Linked DNA regions of Drosophila melanogaster. The protein of the gene in region 2 interacts with the protein of the main gene of each other region in a pairwise test. Each region holds a gene or a part of one and is shown on either strand. Other genes may lie near its edges.

What was found. Proteins that work in one complex are often made in the same cells at the same time.
Region 1: the proteins of Septin2 (region 2) and lectin-30A interact in a two-hybrid assay, tested with the Drosophila melanogaster proteins (one large-scale study listed by BioGRID).
Region 3: the proteins of Septin2 (region 2) and mus304 interact in a two-hybrid assay, tested with the Drosophila melanogaster proteins (one large-scale study listed by BioGRID).

The regions. Positions count from the first base shown.
Region 1 is NT_033779.5:9,252,716-9,257,656, forward strand, and holds lectin-30A (lectin-30A), read right to left. Parts: upstream 2,140-4,941; 5' UTR 2,117-2,139; coding exon 1,445-2,116; 3' UTR 1,361-1,444; downstream 1-1,360. Other genes in the region: borr (borealin-related), read right to left, coding at 1-271.
Region 2 is NT_033777.3:20,583,786-20,589,943, forward strand, and holds Septin2 (septin 2), read right to left. Parts: upstream 4,572-6,158; 5' UTR 4,487-4,571; coding exon 4,339-4,486; exon of another isoform or gene 4,218-4,338; intron 4,211-4,217; exon of another isoform or gene 4,085-4,210; intron 3,673-4,084; coding exon 2,561-3,672; 3' UTR 2,344-2,560; downstream 1-2,343. Other genes in the region: CG16953 (uncharacterized protein), read right to left, coding at 1-459, 1,352-1,503, 1,618-1,687; Srp72 (signal recognition particle 72), read left to right, coding at 5,040-5,151, 5,213-6,158. UniProt on the Drosophila melanogaster protein: Involved in cytokinesis.
Region 3 is NT_037436.4:18,107,224-18,114,207, reverse strand, and holds mus304 (mutagen-sensitive 304), read right to left. Parts: upstream 4,395-6,984; 5' UTR 4,294-4,394; coding exon 3,658-4,293; intron 3,579-3,657; coding exon 2,078-3,578; intron 2,005-2,077; coding exon 1,825-2,004; intron 1,759-1,824; coding exon 1,535-1,758; 3' UTR 1,361-1,534; downstream 1-1,360. Other genes in the region: Polr3D (RNA polymerase III subunit D), read left to right, coding at 4,816-5,048, 5,108-5,487, 5,560-5,628, 5,681-6,246; mRpS26 (mitochondrial ribosomal protein S26), read right to left, coding at 6,773-6,984. UniProt on the Drosophila melanogaster protein: DNA damage checkpoint protein required for chromosome break repair and for genomic stability during development.

The DNA of each region.
Region 1 (4,941 bases), on a different chromosome or scaffold from region 2:
GCGTCTGATCGCTGGCCTTGAAGTCGCTGAAGCGGTCCAGTTCCTCGAAGAGGCGCAGCACTTCGGGCATCTTCAGATTGGCCAGCTCCTTCTGCACCTGGCCGAGCAGTGTCTTCACCTGGTGGTCCACGGCGGAGAGGAACTTGGTCTCCAGCGAATCGATGCTGATAAGGCGGGAATCCATTTTCAGCTCGTACAGGCGCACCTTCTCTTCGCGATTGGCCACCTCGCGGTTGCGTTTGGAGTTCTTTGGTATCTTGGTGCGCGGCATCGTGGCAGCGGCCTTTGTTTACACGTTACAGGGTTTTTGCGAGGAATAACTATTTTCGTAGCAAGCGTCGTCTTTTTGCTATTTCTTTTCGAGTTTGTCCGCTAAAATTCAAGCGTCATGGAACAGTGTTGCCAGATGGCTTTTCATTGCCCAGTTCACGACCGATTGAAAATACTAGAAATATTTTGATGGTGTAAGTGTAAAATGGTAACACTAATGCGCGGTAAATTCAATTAAATAATTCGAACTTAACTGAAGTCACTCCAAAATAACACATTTAAGTATATATCTTCTATATTTATTTATCTATATTTTGAATAATGAGTTTTGAATAATTCCAATGAGTTCTGCAACTAATCTCAATGAACTAGTTCCCTACAACATAGAGATCGATTTTTTTTATATCTTTATTTTTGAAAGGGGAATTCCAACTACCCATTTGTTAATAATGTAACGGTAATAGCATCTTATTATTATAACAAAATACAATATTGGTATATTAGTATTATTGAATAGTAATAATTGGAAAAACTAAAGACTTGCACACTAGAGCGTATAATAACGTAAGTGAAAACTCGAGATATAATTTTGCATCGTATGTGCGGAGGTATCTGAAATGAAAAGCCCCAAAAATTGGAGCCGCAATCCTATTAGTCCGTTTCGAAATCTCGCCCCTGGTCATAAATTGCGCTCTGCTCCACATTGTTGGATGTTTGCTATCTGTCTCTGCTAGTTGCACTTTGGCTGCCACAATGGCAGGATTCTAATAAGCGTGGGTGGCTATGGGTGTGCGAATGGCCCACAAATCAAAAGCATTTTTGTCACCATTTGGGTGGCTTCCTTGTGGAGGGGCGTGGCACTGGCCGCCCTTATTTCTGCACAGAACGTGGACACGTCATGTGTGTAAGGCATTTTGAAATACCAAGCACCGCTTTCTGGGCACTTGATGGAAACCCCATATGGATTGGCCTGGTTTTGTACTTAAGGGAAAATATTTTAATTTTCATTACCCAATAATCTTAATGATCCTCTTGGCTGAGAAAACAGTTATGTACTTCATTTTTGGGCTAGTAAAATAAAAAAGACAGTAGGCTCATAACTTTATTAAAAGCTGTCGGTAAATTGCCGAGATGCAAAATGAAAATAACTTAATTTATTATTTTCGCATTCGCATCAATCCCACTGCTCGGCTTGACATATGAACAAATGGGTGTTGAAACAATTTTCATTGTACATTTCCTTGTTGTATACATTAACGCAATCGAACTTATTGCCCCTTTCTTCTTTCTTCCACTTAAAGAACGGCGGCGATCTGCCGGTGAGTGATGATGCAAAAAGGCCGTTCTTGAACATAGCATTCATATCTATCCAAAAGACGCCGGCCGGCGCTCTTGAGAAGATCTCATTAAACTCCTGCTCATCCCTGATGGTGGCAATGTGACCGCCCAATTGACGACAGGTGTTTGAGGCGCCAAACCAATTTTGTTTGTTTTCCTTCTCAATGTAGAAGCGTCTTGTGCCCATTCTCTGGAAAAGCGCCGGATTAATCCTGTGCGAGATTCGTAGTTTCTCGAGAGTCTCCACACTCTGGTTGCCCATTATGGTCTGCAGCTCGTTCAGTGCGTATGCCAACTTGCTTTGCATGGCCATCAATCGTTCTTCTATCGATCTTTCGATCCTCACTATTTTCTGTTGCATTTCACTTTCCTTCAGCGCAATGAATGTGAACCATTGTTGTTGATTTATAGCCACTTGATCAATTAGCAGCGGATTTTCCGTTTTGTTAGCGAGAACATCACGAGAAGCCCAGGCTAGAATGACGCATATAAAACAATACTTGAACATGTTACTATGTATGACCTGCTAGTCCCAATCCTTAAAACGGACTGTTTCTGGATGTTAACATCTGTATAATGAAATAACAATCCGCATCTAAAAGCATATTAAAGCGTTGAAAACGGTTTACAACGTCTGGCAAATACATAGGTTATTCGTTCTAAGCAGGTGTATAACTAATAAAATTTATTAATACAATTTATGGCTTACCAATTAGGAAAATCTTTCTTGATACCGTACGTTCACCGCACTTTTATGATAGTCGCATAATTTCGGCCTTTTCTTAATTAAGTTGATGGGCTAGAAGTTTTAATTGGCTTGATGCTCGTTCTTGCCTTAAGCCACAAAGTGGATGAACCTAAAGGTGGGTGGGCTCTACCAAACGTCATTACCAATCGATGGCTGTGGGGAAAAGGGATATATCCGAGGCATTCATCCAGACATCTATCTATCCATCCATCCATCTATCCATCCGAGAGCAGATATTTCAGCAGCAGCAACGACAACGAAACTCAATTTGCGCCGGCCAAACGATGCGTTGAGCATATAAAATGCAAAGCGGAAGCGACGTTCATGGATAGATTACACAACTACTTACAAATGTGCGTTTAAGCACCCAACACCCACCACCTACCACCCACAGCCAGCCATATTTCCCATTTCCAACGCTTTTCCTGCGTGTCTGCAACTGTTGCATATTGCAGTGCGTGCGCTGCCTTTATTGTCCCGATGTTAATGGAAACACCTGCTGGCGGCGGAGAAGTCAGCCCCGGAGTCCGTGAACGAGTGCCAGTCATTGTCAGGGGAAATCTGGCCGGGATTGCGGGGTGAGGTTGACTGTGGAGCTGGTGGTGTACAGCCGCCCTTAAGCTGCGTCATCATCTCCATGCCGGATGACAGTAGACGGACCGAGAATGGCATCTTTTGGGAGCGCTTTCAGGTAATGCCGCCGAGAGATCCATTTTACAAAGTGCAGCCAGTAAAAGTGTTTCTGTGTCAGCTGTTGATGGTGCCCAGATGCCCTGCTAATGTAAACGTGCCACGAGGGACACAAATTATAATTATGTTGAACTCTGATACGGCATTAATGGAAGCTCCCATGCATTGATCCACCATTGTATTGATTGCTATCCAATATACCTTATAAGCCCCATTGCAGCCGTATTACTATAATTTATATTGATATTTTACCTTCATGCTTTATAATATTAAAGTTGCTTTGACTTTTCAGCATTTTTACGTTTTTAATTAGAACAGCTAGCACGTATTGAAATTGGAATACCACCACTACGTTTTAGTTTATTGATGTTAGCTTAGAAACTCATAAAAAGCGGAGAAAATGAAACAACATGTGCGTAAAAAAATGAACCCTAGGGAAGTTCTAGAACAGCAACTACCCTACGAAAAACCAAGGCAATCGTAACGAGTTTATGTCCCACCGATATAGTTCCAACCCTCCAGGTTAATGAGCCCCGAGTGGGGGAGCGGTTCAATTGAATTGTGTGCCGTAAGTTGGACAAACCCAATTAAAATTTCGACTGCCCGTTTTTCCGGCGATAAAGAAAGAATAGTGCTGGCCACCCCATTTACAATCCCCTTTGCACAGGTGTTGCACAATTCCACTCGTTCCCGGGCACTCGAAAGTGCACTTTGTACTCACTCAAAATTTACTCCAGTCTGGCGCGTTCCACTTTCACACGTTCCTCGTGGACTCAACGTGCGCCTTGGCATATGCAACGCATTCAGTCGCTTGTGGGAGGCAGTTGCATTCGATTGCCAGCACTTTCATCAGCGGAAAAGCCAGAGAGCAGCTAATAGCCGGACAAAGAGTGAGAAAGCGAGAGCGGAGAGGGAGAGGCAGAACACATTCGCTGGTTGGTCTTGGTCTTGGTACCACTCATTCGACACATTTTCCTTCAGTTTTCCCTCGGCAGCGATACCAGCCGTCGCTTACTTTTTCGTTATTCTGTTATTGCTGGCCTTTGTTTATTAGTGCGTGTCTTCGCTGCGAGCGGTTTTCGTAATTGAAACGAGAGCGACATAATTAAATTAAAATATACTCGCACACAGTAGCGCACTAGCATCGATAGACGGGCCAACTAATCACATTACCAGCCATCAGACATCAAGCCACCAGCCATCAGGCCATCGTCAGTCGGAAACCGAAACGCAGACCCGCAACACAAGACTCACAGTTCGCATTGCATACTTTTTGGCGCGCATCGAAATAAACACACCAATACGTACATCAATACAACACAACAACAACAAACACATTCAGGCTCGATTGCTGCGTGAGTGTGAGTGTGCCTGTGTCTGTGCGAGAGTGCCTTCTAAAGTCGCCCATCCTGCGAAGCGACAAAATTCATCAACTCTTGTGTCTGGTGAGTTGACATAAAAGACAATAGAATTGCTGGCAATAAAAGGCAAAGCTTGAAGCTAACAAGAAAATTCCGGGAAAAGTGCCTCGGGCTGGTGAATGTTTTGGCAATGTTGGTGTGAAAATGTCAGACTAGATCGTGACCTTTAAGCTTCTGATCATTAAAGGGGTTACATATTTTCTGTGAATATGCTTTTAAAAATGATAACTGGTGCGAATAATAATCTGCAAAAGTTTTTGGTCCAAATGTTTTGTAATATAAAGAAAACTTGATGAAATCATGAATATTTAATAATCATCCAATATTCTATAGTGTACTTTAAAATAACGTAAAAACGTAAAATGCGATTACACAAAAATAATAACATTATTCTCATTTTATATTCAGAATTTAATCTCATCATTGACCTACGCCATAAACACTTTTATATCAACTTGTACAAGATATTTTTTG
Region 2 (6,158 bases):
GGTGGTGGTCGTCGTAGTTGAGGGCGTCGGCTCCGGCGGAAGTTCCAGTGAAGCCACCACTAACGCCTCCATGTCATAATATTGCTCAGCTTTCGGATATGTGGCCACATAGTCCAACGCACTGGACATGCCGAGATATGTGCAGTTCTGAAACCAATACGTCAGAATGCGATAACCCTTCGACTGCAGAAAAAGTAGGTCCGCATCGGAAAGTGATACGCTGTGATTCACCGCCTCCTGGGTGGACACAAACTCATGGGGTCGCATCACATTGTTCTGAATCAGCTCCAGGCTGCCGCCGAGCAAGCTGTCCAGCTTGATTCCCCTCGAGGCCTTAGCCTCCGTCACCCAAAAAAATGTGACGAACTTCTCCACTTCCACCTTGATGACATGCGTCGCCGGTTGTTCTTGCGTGAAGACCACAGACCAATTGCTGCTAACGCTGTTCGTTTCAATCACCTGTGGGCACAAAGAGAAGTGTTTAGTGTTATTTGGTATCACTTTTAAGCCACTCTGCATGCAAATTCGTTCACAATAGCAGCCACCGTTTGGCACTGATATGGCCACGTACCAGGCACAATCGGAAAAGCTGTCGCTTAATAGTAATTGTGCAAAATTACCATTCAAATGACGCCATTTCAATTGATGGCACAGGGCTGAGATTAGAACTGGTATTCGCATCTGTTTGTATATGTAAGCTCTAGCTTAGGGTGTTTAAAATGTGTTTTTAGTCATCGTAAATAATAAAATATTTATGACTTCTATGGAATAAGAATCATTAACATTGATAATTTCATTTGATAATATTTAAAGAAACAGATACGGATCAGTATAATTATGTTCAATATTACATATGCTCATGTTAGTTAGTTAATAAGCTTATATATAAAAATCTTAAGTTTGAATTTGAAATAAGGTTTCTAAAGATTTTTTCTTGAAAATGCATTTTGAATAAAAACAGTTACGTCTTTTGATCTAAAGAGTAATTCTTGTTTAGCAATTACGAGTTGTGATATCGATTTAGAACAAACTTTTGTAATGGTCTATTAGCAGGAGCTTAAAACTTTAAATTTAACCGAAATCGAGAACTTTCAAAATATTTTGTAATCAGAGATATTTGCATTAATGAAATACTGTTCTGCTGCGTTGATGGCAGGCAAACCACCTAGTACTAGTTCTCCTGACCATTTTAATGAGCCAGTTTGATGGGCGTAGATGCGAACCCTAGGCTGGTGGATTTGCTTGCACTATTGGCGTTTGCATTCGCAGGCAATTAGTCGTGTCACCGTTTTCTTTGTTTGAACACGTTCTGCAGGGGGAGCAGTTGGGGAAATGGAGGTGGAATCGTTACCTTTCGATGGCCAGCACTGTCGGACCATGTGAACCTGTAGGGCCTGCCTCCGTCAGCCGGTTTGTCGCCATCGAAGAGCTGGGCGGACACATTGATGGTGGATCCGATGAGGGCCTGTTCGGGAGCAGTGATGATGACGGTGTAGCAGGTAACTGCAATGTCGGAGGGAAATCATTAATGACCCCGTTTCTGGACTACCATATCCACACTGCACCAGCCATTAACCATTAACCACTACCCACTGCCACCATTAGCATTATCCATACCTGTCTGCAGAAGAGCGAGGAAAACCAGTGATGACGCTGCTGGCGACATGTTCGTCATGCCGATTGGCATTTCCCGTCCACTCGGCGGCGCTGGCTATGGAAAATCACTTGGGAGCACCCCTGCGGCGAGTCCCCTCCCTTACCATTAAATCGCAATCCAAACCGAGCGACAAACAAAATTATAACGAACAAAAAACAAACACAAAGGGGTATCTTGCTTTTTGCCAACGGATACACCCACTTTCATGGACTATTCTCTACGTTGAACACGGTTAATTGCTTTCGTTTGGGTTACGGAGCACTGGACTCCGTGATTGCGTCGAATTCGCTGCGGTGATTCTATTATTGCGTTTTTAATTTGTTCTATAATTTTTGCAGCCTGCAGTGAATGAGTGGGTAACAGTGTGACCAGGTGGCAAGCACAAGACAAGTAAAATAAGGCCGTACTACACTTACGTCCTACGAAAAGCCCGCCAATCTTGAAATTCAAATTACCATGTTTTTGTATTTAAAAAGCGGAGCTTAAAAGAAATTCAAGGAAAATATAAACTTAATATGTATTGATACATATCAATCAGTGACTTCTAAGGAAACCAGGATAATCTTAGATAAAATGTTATTTTGTTGTCTTTATCCAGCGGTGCCTTCAATACACACTTAAAAACACATTATATCGACAAAAGTTTACAATTTTTTGAATACAAGTTTCCGGCAAACAGCTCTTTTCTACTTTGTTAAAATACTAAGTTCGATTTATTCGTTAGTTGTAAATACATAATCATTATATGCCTGCGTACATATGCGTGTAGTTGTGTATATGTTAATATTTGAAGTAAACTTAATAGTACAAATGAAAGACAACGAGATGAGAAAGCAATAATTACTTTGGGATAAGCGAACCGCACAGAATTCTCAATACATTGTGAGGCGGCGGCGCCGGATTCTACTTCTTCTTGCTCTTGCCGAGGGTGAGCGTGTGGTGGGCGGTGGCCAACTGCTGCTTGCGCCGCTGGAAGTCAAGGTAGTCCTCCTCGAGCGCCTTGCGCGACTCTTCCAGCTTGCGCTTCTCCTCGGCGTGATCCCGCTTTAGCTTCTCGAACTTGGCGTGCAGGTCCTTCTCGCTCTCCTTCAGCTCGGCCTCCTTCTCCTTAACGCGCTGCACGAACATCTGACGAACCTCCTCCTCCTTGGACTGCAGCTCGGCCAAATGGTTGGAGCGCTTTGCCTCGAACGTCTGCTGGAACGAGATGGGCTTGTTGTCGCTGTCCACATCGCTGAAGCCCATTTGCTCCAGCCTCTTCTGGCGATACAGCTCGTAGTGGCGCGTGTGTGTCTTTTCGCGCATATCCTCCATGTTGGTGCGAATGAGCATCTCGCGCAGCTTCACAAAGTCGCAGTGCGTCTCGTTCTCCACCTGCACCGTGCCCCAGGGGTACTGGCGAGCGCGGATGAGCTTGTTGCCCACCTTAATAAACTCCGTGCTGCCCACCACGGCGAAGGGAATGTGCGAGTTCATGCTGGTGTTGGTCTCGGCCACCGTCTCATCGTCGGTGGGGAACTGGTAGATGTGCACTCCATTGGCGTTTAGCTCCTGAATGATCTTCGCCTTGAAGCGCTGTAGCTCAACCTTGGAAATGGTATCCGCCTTGGCAATCACCGGAATTATGTTCACCTTGCTGTCCAGCTTCTTCATGCACACCAGGTCCAGCGATTTGAGGCCGTGCCCAGTGGGGCAAATAAAGTAGAGGCAGATGTGGATGCGGCTGTCGTGGCATGTCACCAGCGATCGCTTGATCTTCAGCTCCTCCTGCAGATAGTTCTCGAACTGTGCGTCGATGTAGTCCACCACCGCCTTGAACGAGTCGTCCTTGTTGATCTGATCGCCGTAGCCAACCGTGTCGCAGATGGTGAGCTTGAGTCGCACATTGCTCTCCTGCAGCTCGTAGGTGTGTGCCTTCAACTTGACGCTCGGCAAAGTGTGGGGACTCGGCGTGGACTCGAAGCTGGTGTTGAACAGCGTGTCCATCAGCGTCGACTTGCCCAGTCCGGTTTCGCCTGCGGAGCGTAAAGATTTCGAAATGCGGGTCAGATTTGTGCCAGATTTGGGGAACCTTAGCCTAAGTGAGCTCAATTGGCCATAGAAGCACTGCGGCATTGGTGTCAGGGTGAAATTGTAGAAAGTGGCGGAGGCAATCGATTGCCGGCCACTTTGCATACTAATCGTATCTGGGCGTCTGGTTATTTCAATTGTTTACCCGCTTTTATGTACCTAAGTGATTCACTTTATCTGAGCAATGCACTCCAACATGAGACACTTGAGTACATAGCACAGCGGTGTTCAAAACAATAGCATCTTTATTTCAAGATGTGCTGTGCAATAGTCTTTGCTTTCAATAAATAATTGTATTTCTAATATGATTTTACTGATTTTACTCGTATTAAAGTTTAACAAATAAAAAGCACACACCTCGGTTTTTATTTCATTCTCTCTGCATCGAGCTACCACTGTATGTCCAATTTCTAATTGGTGTGCAAACAAAGCCATCTTTGAGTTAAGAAGCAACAAAAGTTTGAAACCTTCTCCAAGTGACTCCTTTATGGAATATAAAAAATCAGTGCTATTGCTTTGGTCACCACTGTTTTGTATGCAAGCAAAACTTCGGTTGATTCACTGTGCCGCATACACACGCACACACGCAAAGTTCACCCGCATATACACACCTATACACATGACGTTGAAGACGAATCCATTCTGGACACTCTTGTTGACCAGTTGGTCAGGCAAGCTGTCGAATCCCACGTGACCGGACTGCTTCAGGGTGCGGAGGTGCACCTCCTTCTTGTCGACGAAATCCACCTCAACGGACATTTTCCAATAGTCAAGTCAAATAATCCAATAATCCGGGCGCAGAGTTTGGATCAAAGGCGTCGCCAGCGAATATGCAAGTGTGGCCAGATACGCGGAGCCCAAAATACCAGCGGCTCAAAGAAGTGTGTGGATATAGATGAACAAGAAAATTATAACTTAACAAAGAATTAAAAAACAATTATTTAATGAATTACATGTGCCATAATGGCAAATAGTGAAACGAAATTGATAATCAAACAGTGAAATGCACTTCATGGATTAAGATTTTAGTACACATCATTTAGCGTTTCAGTTTTTAATAACTAATAATAAAATGTCCCATTCATAGATATTTATGCATAAGTTATTAATTAAATGTAAATAGTTTAAAAAATTAAATGTCTTAACTGTTTCCGCCATCTGGCATCTCTGGTTGCACACAGAAGCGATCTGGCAGGTCCGCATTGCTGATGTGTCTACAGCTGTAAAAACTTGCATGTTAAACGGAAAGTCGAAAGTTTAAGTCAGTGAATAAAATATATATTACCACCCACTAACGTGCTGAGCAAACAGGATGTCAAAGGACGCTAATCCCAAGGAGGCGCTCATAAAGGCGGCTTACGCTGATGTGAATAAGTTCGGCAATAACCAGGAGTTTGACAAGGCTGTCAAGGCAGTGAATCGCAGTAAGTTTTTCAGATTACCGAGGTTATAATCCAGAAGATGACTCCCTATGATCTCTCATAGTCCTAGGCGTAGCGCCCGACGATCCCACCGCCCTGCACTGCAAGGTAGTCTGCCTGGTGCAGCTTTCCAAGTTCGAGGAGGCCTACAAGTTTATTGAGAAAAATCGACTGTCCTCGCTTTTCTTTGAGAAGGCCTACTGCGAGTACCAACTTAACAAGCAGCAGCAAGCGCTTAAGACCATAGACGATGCGGGTCTGCAGCCCCTGCCTCCGAACCTTAAGGAGCTCCGAACCCAGGTCCTGTACCGCTTGGAGCGCTACGATGAGTGCCTAGACTCCTATCGCGACATCATTAAGAACACCAGTGACGAGTACGAGGAAGAGCGTCGGACCAATCTCAGCGCCGTGGCCGCCAACTTGGCTGTGGATCAGACCAAGGAGGTGCCCGAGGTGCCGGAAGACACCTACGAGCAGTACTTCAACAGCGCGTGCATCCAGGCTAATCGGCAGAAGTATGCTGAAGCCGAGCGCAAGTTGCGCACCAGCGAGAAGCTCTGTCTTGAGGATGAGTGTGCCTCCGAGGAGGAGATCATTGAAGAGGTAGACGTCATTCGCGTCCAACTGGCCTATGTCCTCCAACTGCAGGGCAAGACCAAGGAGGCGTCCAGCATCTACGCGGACTGCCTGCGTCATAAGCCAAAGGACGCAGCCCTGGTGGCCGTGGCAAGCAACAACTTGGTGGTGGTCAATAAGGACCAGAACGTCTTCGATTCCAAGAAGAAGATACGCGCTGCCCTAGCCGACGCCTGTGAGTCTAGGCTCACCTCGCGCCAGAAGCAGGTCATAGCCCTCAACAACTGTCTGCTAGCACTTTACACTAATGCCGGCGACCAAGTGCAACAGCTTAGCCAAAAGCTAGCTCAGACCTACCCGCAGGTGGAATTCGAGGCGCTGCTCATTCGCTGCACCCAGCTGGCCAAAGATCGCAAGCACAAGGAGGCCATCGA
Region 3 (6,984 bases), on a different chromosome or scaffold from region 2:
TAGTCACATGTAATACATAATTTACGCTGTAAATACGCTTAGGTTTTTCGATTTAAAACGCAATTTAACCCCTTTGTGAAGAAAACAGATAACGTTTTGGATGTTGTAAAATAGTCTTAGAATTTTTAAATTCGCAATTTTACAAGAAAAAAATTCTAAAAATATAATTTTATAAAAATAAAATTAATCTGATGAAGAAACTTTTCTACGTGTAGATCTAGAGAATATCCGTTTTGCGGAATTAAATAATAAAGTGTTCTGGTAAGCACACCCCAAACAAAGCGGAATTGTCGGCGGCTTAACTGAACCACTTGATAAAATTATAATTTATAAAAATTAGTTAAGTGGAGCCATTGAGTGGCCATCGGTTAAGTTTGTCGAAATTAAACTTTGCACACGGGGACATTGTTAAGATAATTGGAAAATCTTCATAGATATGCTAAGAGCAACGTGATGATATTCTTGAGTTGAAGATGATAAAGATAAGATTGCCTCACGGAAAAATTTTGAGGATTACATTTCAGGCTCAGCAATTTTCGGCTCTTCTACAAATGAATTCCTTAAAATATGCCTCACTATATTAAGCAGTCTTTAGATGATATAGTAAAGATAATGAAAAGAAAATAACGATAAGGAAATAAATATCATTTAAGATAAATAAACGGCTAAATAAATAAATAAGAGTTTAGTTTAATAATCGTTTAACTGGTAAAAAGAGATGTATTTAATATTCTGTATATGCGAGTACAGGTATAATCATATGAAGGAATGATTTCTGATTACATTGGGGAAGGATCATAATACATACGTATATCATACATCATACATCTTACATACATACATATATATATTTATATACATATATACATATATACATATATATATATGTATACAGAAATGCATGTTAAAAATATATGCATGTGAAACGAAAAAAACAAAAGTTCTTAGATGTTTTGTTCTATGATCATATTACAATGATACTTTCTTATTATTGTGAGAAGGAAGTATTTGTTTATTTGAACCCACCTTTGCGAATGTTTATTAAATCAACAAATATAAGCATTTGCATTGAATCACGCTTATTGCAGTAAGCACCATAAGTGCACGTTGAACTTTTAATCAGAATACATTATTTTATACACAATAAGCACGGGTTTAAAATGTAAATGCTGAAAAACATCTAAATATTTACAAAATTAAGAAAAGCATCGCGCTTACAAACTAGTTCCATGCAAACTGAACTGGTTAAATTGAGCCATATCAGCTGTTTTATCAAGTTCCTTCGAAACGATAAGCTGAACCACCAACAAATATTTTGTATTATCGATTCGTAAATTGATATCGAAATGAAAAATCGATTATTTAGCGGTTTCTTTAAACGCTGCATTACATATTTGTATTTTGGAATGCGTTTTTTAAGCTCTAAATTTGTGCAGCGAGCCTTTTCAATTCTTAACATAGCATTTGAAACTTCACAATAAATTAACGCCACACCTATATGTATATATTACTAAAACGTTTAAGCTAACTATAACTACTCAAAAGTGTTCTCCTCCCGTTTAAGGGCACTAAAGAAGTCGGTGTTGAGTAATTTGCTGGGATCAACTGTCACAGCCGACTTCACAGCCCTTTGGTCATCCGCATTCTTGACAATGCGTTTCCATTCGGAGAGGTCGTTGACTGGATTATTGGGCTTGGCCTCCAGATGAAGGGGTTTCAGCATGAAATGGGCTTTAACCAGTTGGTTTAACAAACGCACTAAATGACAGGAAAATATTTAAAAAGTTAGCAACGGAAAATATGGAATGTTGTTAGGTCATTTACAATGTATTGACTGAAAACCAAGCAGGTTCGCATGCTCGCTCCACCAGTTGCATATGAGGCTAAGGTAATGCTTGGTCGTCTCCTCGGAGTCGCGAAACAGACAGGTGAGGTAATACTCGTGAAAGACAAGGGACAGAAGGTGCACTGCGATGCGGGAGATCTCGCCAACTTCTTCGGTGCCTAAATAGAAAGCACAAATATTGATTCGTGTCATTGATCATATGAAAATGATTTTTTTTTAGCTCAAACGCACCTGCTTTCCTGCTGTGCAACATCCATTGGTGCATCACCTGGAAGACAATTGTTACCGCACTGAGGCACAACTTTACATAGCACTCGCAGCCTTTTCCTCGCTGCGTTGTACTTGAATTTGAATTTTGATTCGGGTTCGAAACAGACGCTGATGTCGATCCATTGGAGACCGATCCCTGCACAGCTCCTGTGGAGTTGAAGCTCAGACTGGTGCCTGTTTTCATCAGAGTACCATCGCTGGAGTCCTCGTCGCCATCGTCGGCAAAGTAAGGCAGCATTTCAAGTATGAAATCCGGTGGGTTTTTGAAGCACTCGAACGCGAATCGCACATGATTTCCTCCGATCTTGAGCAGCAACTGAAAGTAGTCCTGCCGCAGAGGAGTTTCACTAAAGAAGCATAGCTCGAGTAGGCCCGCGTAGACCTGAAGTAAACAGGAGTCGGGACCAAATCGATAAACGGAGCGAACGCGATCCGATACAAAGCAGTCCTTGGGACTATTCACACACATTTTATCCATAAGTTGGGGATGTCTAAGGCAGCTTAAAAAGCAGGAGCTAAGCTCAGCAAAAACCCAAGGACTGGGACGAGTAAAAACTAACTGCTTAAGCAGATCGAAGAGTAGCTCCTCGTTATGTTGAAGAAGGGCATTTTCTTGTAGGAGGCTATTTAGGAGTGAAGTCAAGGCTTCCAGCAATCCAAAGTGTTGGCCGACCTCGTAGGAAAATCCTAGTTTTGTGATAGCTTCAATAGCCATATCTAGCAGTCCCAGATCATTTTCTTTCCACTCCGTGAGACCTCTAGAAATCCTTTCCTCTCGCCGGCAAATCAAAGCCAAGGTAGCTATGAAGCGACGCAGCGGAACAGCCTTTTCGTTATCATACAAACAGCTCTGATGGGTCAGGGAAATGCGATGAACTTCCTCCTCTAGGTTGTGGGGATTGTAGGGATACAGCATGCAGTTGTGTGGAAAGTCCAAACTTTGAGCATACGAAGCAAACTCCGTGAATACCTTGCCGACCGACGAGAGTATTCTTGGCAGGAGGTTATCCACAGATTCCGGCTTTGCCTGCAGCCGAGCGTAATGAAGTAGCAGTTGCTTTAATTCCAGTTCAAAATGATTTCTTCGTTTCTTAGTCTGATCCTCATTTTCGCTGTATTCGAACACACTGCCATTATCGGTTTTCAGCCCGGGCACAGATCTGTGTATGTTAAGCCTATTCAAGCGAAGTGATAAGCGTTTCTCCAAAGGATCTGGAGCAGCCTGTAAAATGCTCATGCTGGAATTCATGCTTCTTTCATGGGCTTTTTGCTGTGTCTTCAACTTTGAGAACTCGGCGTTCTTAATCTTCAACTCGATGTCCTTGGCCGCAATTTGTTTGGCCGCTTCTGCCACTTTTTTGTTGCAATCCCGATTCGTTTCGTCGGCCAAAGCCAGCTTTTCCATTTTGCTAGCCTGCAGCTGCTGGCGCAAGTGCTTCAGCTCATCACGAAGTAAGGAAACCTAGAGAAATAAATATAAATGGATTAGTTTCTGTAAGGTCTAGAATCGGTGTTATAGTTCCACCCCGATGTCCACCTACCTCACCAGACTTGATCTCATTGCGTTCCTTACTGTCGCCCAAATTCTTTTCCAGCTGCGCGTTTTCCCGCTTAAGGGCTTCAATCCTATCCATGAGAAACTTTAGCTGATGCTCCTGCTGGCGGGATTGCGTGGCATTGATGGTCGTCGTGGTCGTGGTTTTCTGCTGAACACTTATGCTGCTGGTAGTTATCCTACTTGTGCTGGTCTTCGGCTCCGGCATCTTTTGTGGCTCACTGTCCATGAGGGTAACGGCCAGAAAATCGAAATCATCATCATCCGCGAAAATCGCATCCATATCCAGGGAAGTAGGCTTCTTTTGTGGCGGCGGTGGCGGCGGAAACATTTGCTGTGTGCTGGTTGAGCCCTGAAAAGTGGGTGCAAATTCGCTGAAGGTGACCTCGCTGTTGCCGATGTCCACCTCTGTTCCGCCCTTCTTTTTCCGCTCCTCCGCCTCGATTTCCGCCTCCGCCAGCTGGGTGGCCATCAGGATGACATCGTCATCGTCGTCCCAGAGAATCCCATCGAAATTGTTCCTCGGTGGACTGGGTCGCGCTGATCCGCGGGTAACGCTAACATCCAGGCGCGGTTTCTTGCACCGCGCGAAGTCTTTCATGGCAGAAAAGCGCTTGGCCATGGTTCCTCCAGTTTCCGCTATATTTCGTTACTTTTTGGCCATGGAAAGTCGTAGATTATTTTGCCGGTTTGCTTTGTTTATAAAATGTAGAGCTCAACTAGCGTTGCCAGATGGATTTGATCGCAACGATGGATTTGCCCAACCAAAATAGAGATTATGTTTCGAATCCATGTTGCATAGAAAAATACTACATTAGGATTTACTGCAACAAAAAGCCAGTTTTGTAATATCGCTCTTTGTTATTATGCTGGTTTTTTTTAAGCGCCGATAGAAACCCGCTACAATCACAGTTTCAAAATCCGATTAATATTGAGCAAAACCAAAGTCATCTGGCTACACTCAAGTCTATCGACTGCGGTGTATCGGCATGTGGTGTATCGACTCAGCTTTCCCATTAACCTCAAAGGAAAATCAAAGAATTCTGCGGAAATTCTAGCCCAAAACTAAAGGACTTACGGGGAAACCAGAACCCAGCGACTTCGGTCGAATTTTCGAGGTGACGGGCGGCGCGAATGGAACGCCATGCCAGCGAAGAGGATGACGGTCACCACAGCAGCAGCTTCGACCATCAGTGGAGCCAGTGGGTCCACCACGAATAATGGTCAGTCTGGTGGCGGTGCACGCCCACTGGAGACGCTAAACGGAATGACCAGGCTGACCCCCGCCCGCGACTTGACCCTTGGTGGGCGCGGCGCTGGGACAGCCAGCAAAAAGGTCTTTGCTCCCAATTTGAATGCTGTGCGCAATAAAAATGCGTGAGTTGTGGAATGGCCCAGGGGGAGTCATTCTTTTCATCATCTCATTTGATTCACAGCAATGTCAAGACATCCAAGGACACCACGCAGCCAAGGAGCGGCCGCAGAGGTGGACGTGGCAACGGCACTGGAGCAACACGTGGTCGAGGTGGAAATTCCGCTGGCGGGGGCAACTCCACGCTCATCCAAACCCAGGGACTCTTCTCCGAAGGAGCAGGCGATGTTCATGTGCGAAGGTCCACAGGAAATGGAACGGCATATGCACGGGGCGGTGAGGAGGTGTCCGTGACCAGGAAACGGGTGGATCGCAAGGACGACAAGAGCCAGGCCGAGCGGATCAAGGAGCTCTTGGGCGAGTCGGACGCCAGTGGCGGCGAGCTCAGCGAAGAGGAGGCTAACAAGACTGAGATGGCACTCAGGCCCATCCTGCTAAAAGAGGGTACGTTTTACAAGCACTTTTTGATGCACACGGGCAGAAGAAATTCATGCTTTATTTGTTTATAAACGTTAGGACTCTGGGTCACCCAGAAGACACCGATTGCGAAGCAAGAAATCGCCAGTTCAACCTCAACACTTAAGGGTAAGGCGCTAAGCTTTAAAAATGGCATAATCTAATTTGATTTCGCTCCTAGACACTTTGGCAGTGGCCCAGCATTTGCAACAGCTGCATGTGGCTGCCCAGGCAGCCAGTTTAGAGGAACCTCCGCTGCAGTACGGTCGCTACCCACGCACCATTGGTAACTTTCTGGACTCCAGCGAAGCGCAGATCTTTCTCATGCAACTGCCAGATGTGTTGCCATGTGTGGGCGACGATTCCGAAGATCCGGAACCGTCTAAAGGAGATCATCAGGCCACCAGTGAATCGGAACCAGCAAGTCCTGCAGACAAATGCTCAAACGGACCCAAGGGCAGTGTACTACGGCAGCTGGAAGAAGGGCAGATCGGCAAGATTCTGAGGTACAAATCCGGTCGCGTTAAACTCCAATTGGGGGACACACGCTTTGACTTGGATATGGGTCTCGATCCGGGTTTTCTGCAGGAACTCATGTCTGTAACCGCCAATCGCGAGCAACGTAGTGGAAACATGATCAACTTGGGACCCATTCAAGCCAAACTAAAGGCCACTCCAGATTGGGTGCACCTTTTCCAGCAGCAGGATGCGGCATCCAAGCGAACGAATCCAGTACCGGGCACGTAGCACCCACTTCCCCATGGTAGATATGTAATATAGTAAATAGGCTGCGCCTAAGCTTAAGTTATTCCTATTCTAAATGCCGTATATAAAAGTTAAATATAGAAATTTTTATAATACAAATGCTTTTCAAAAGGTTATTAACAATTGTACTCGAATATGGAACATAAAAGAGACTCCAAGAAAGATGGGCTTGGAACTTGGGGATATGTAACGTAAATTAAGCCATCAATACTTAATGCAATGACCCAAGATTAATTTTTAGGTTAATGGATTGTTGATATATTATATGTTCAAATTAAGTGATTATTATAATTTCAAATACGGTCTTAAAATTTGAAAAGTATTCTAGTTCTAGCAAATCGCTTTACAATAGCTAGGTTATCCAATTCCTATTCTTTTGCGCAAATCAAATATACTTAAGTGTGTTGTTTATTGTGCAGAAAAATAAAAAAAAACACGGACTTTCAACTTTGGTTAGAAACCTATAAAAAGCATTTTAATGTAACAACAAACTAAGACACTGCATTAATTAATTACTCAAAACTTGCTGGTTGGGTTCGGGAGTGGCGTCCGGGAGCTGAGAGGTGCTTCGTCCGTGGTAAAGATTACCGGCCATATCGATGGCGAAATTGTGGTCCACGGGATTGGCCAACGCTGTCTCAATGGCTGCATCCAAGTTTTCCCTAGTGATATAGTTCTTGGAACGCTCAATCTCGAGCAGCACCCGCTGGTTGGCCTGCT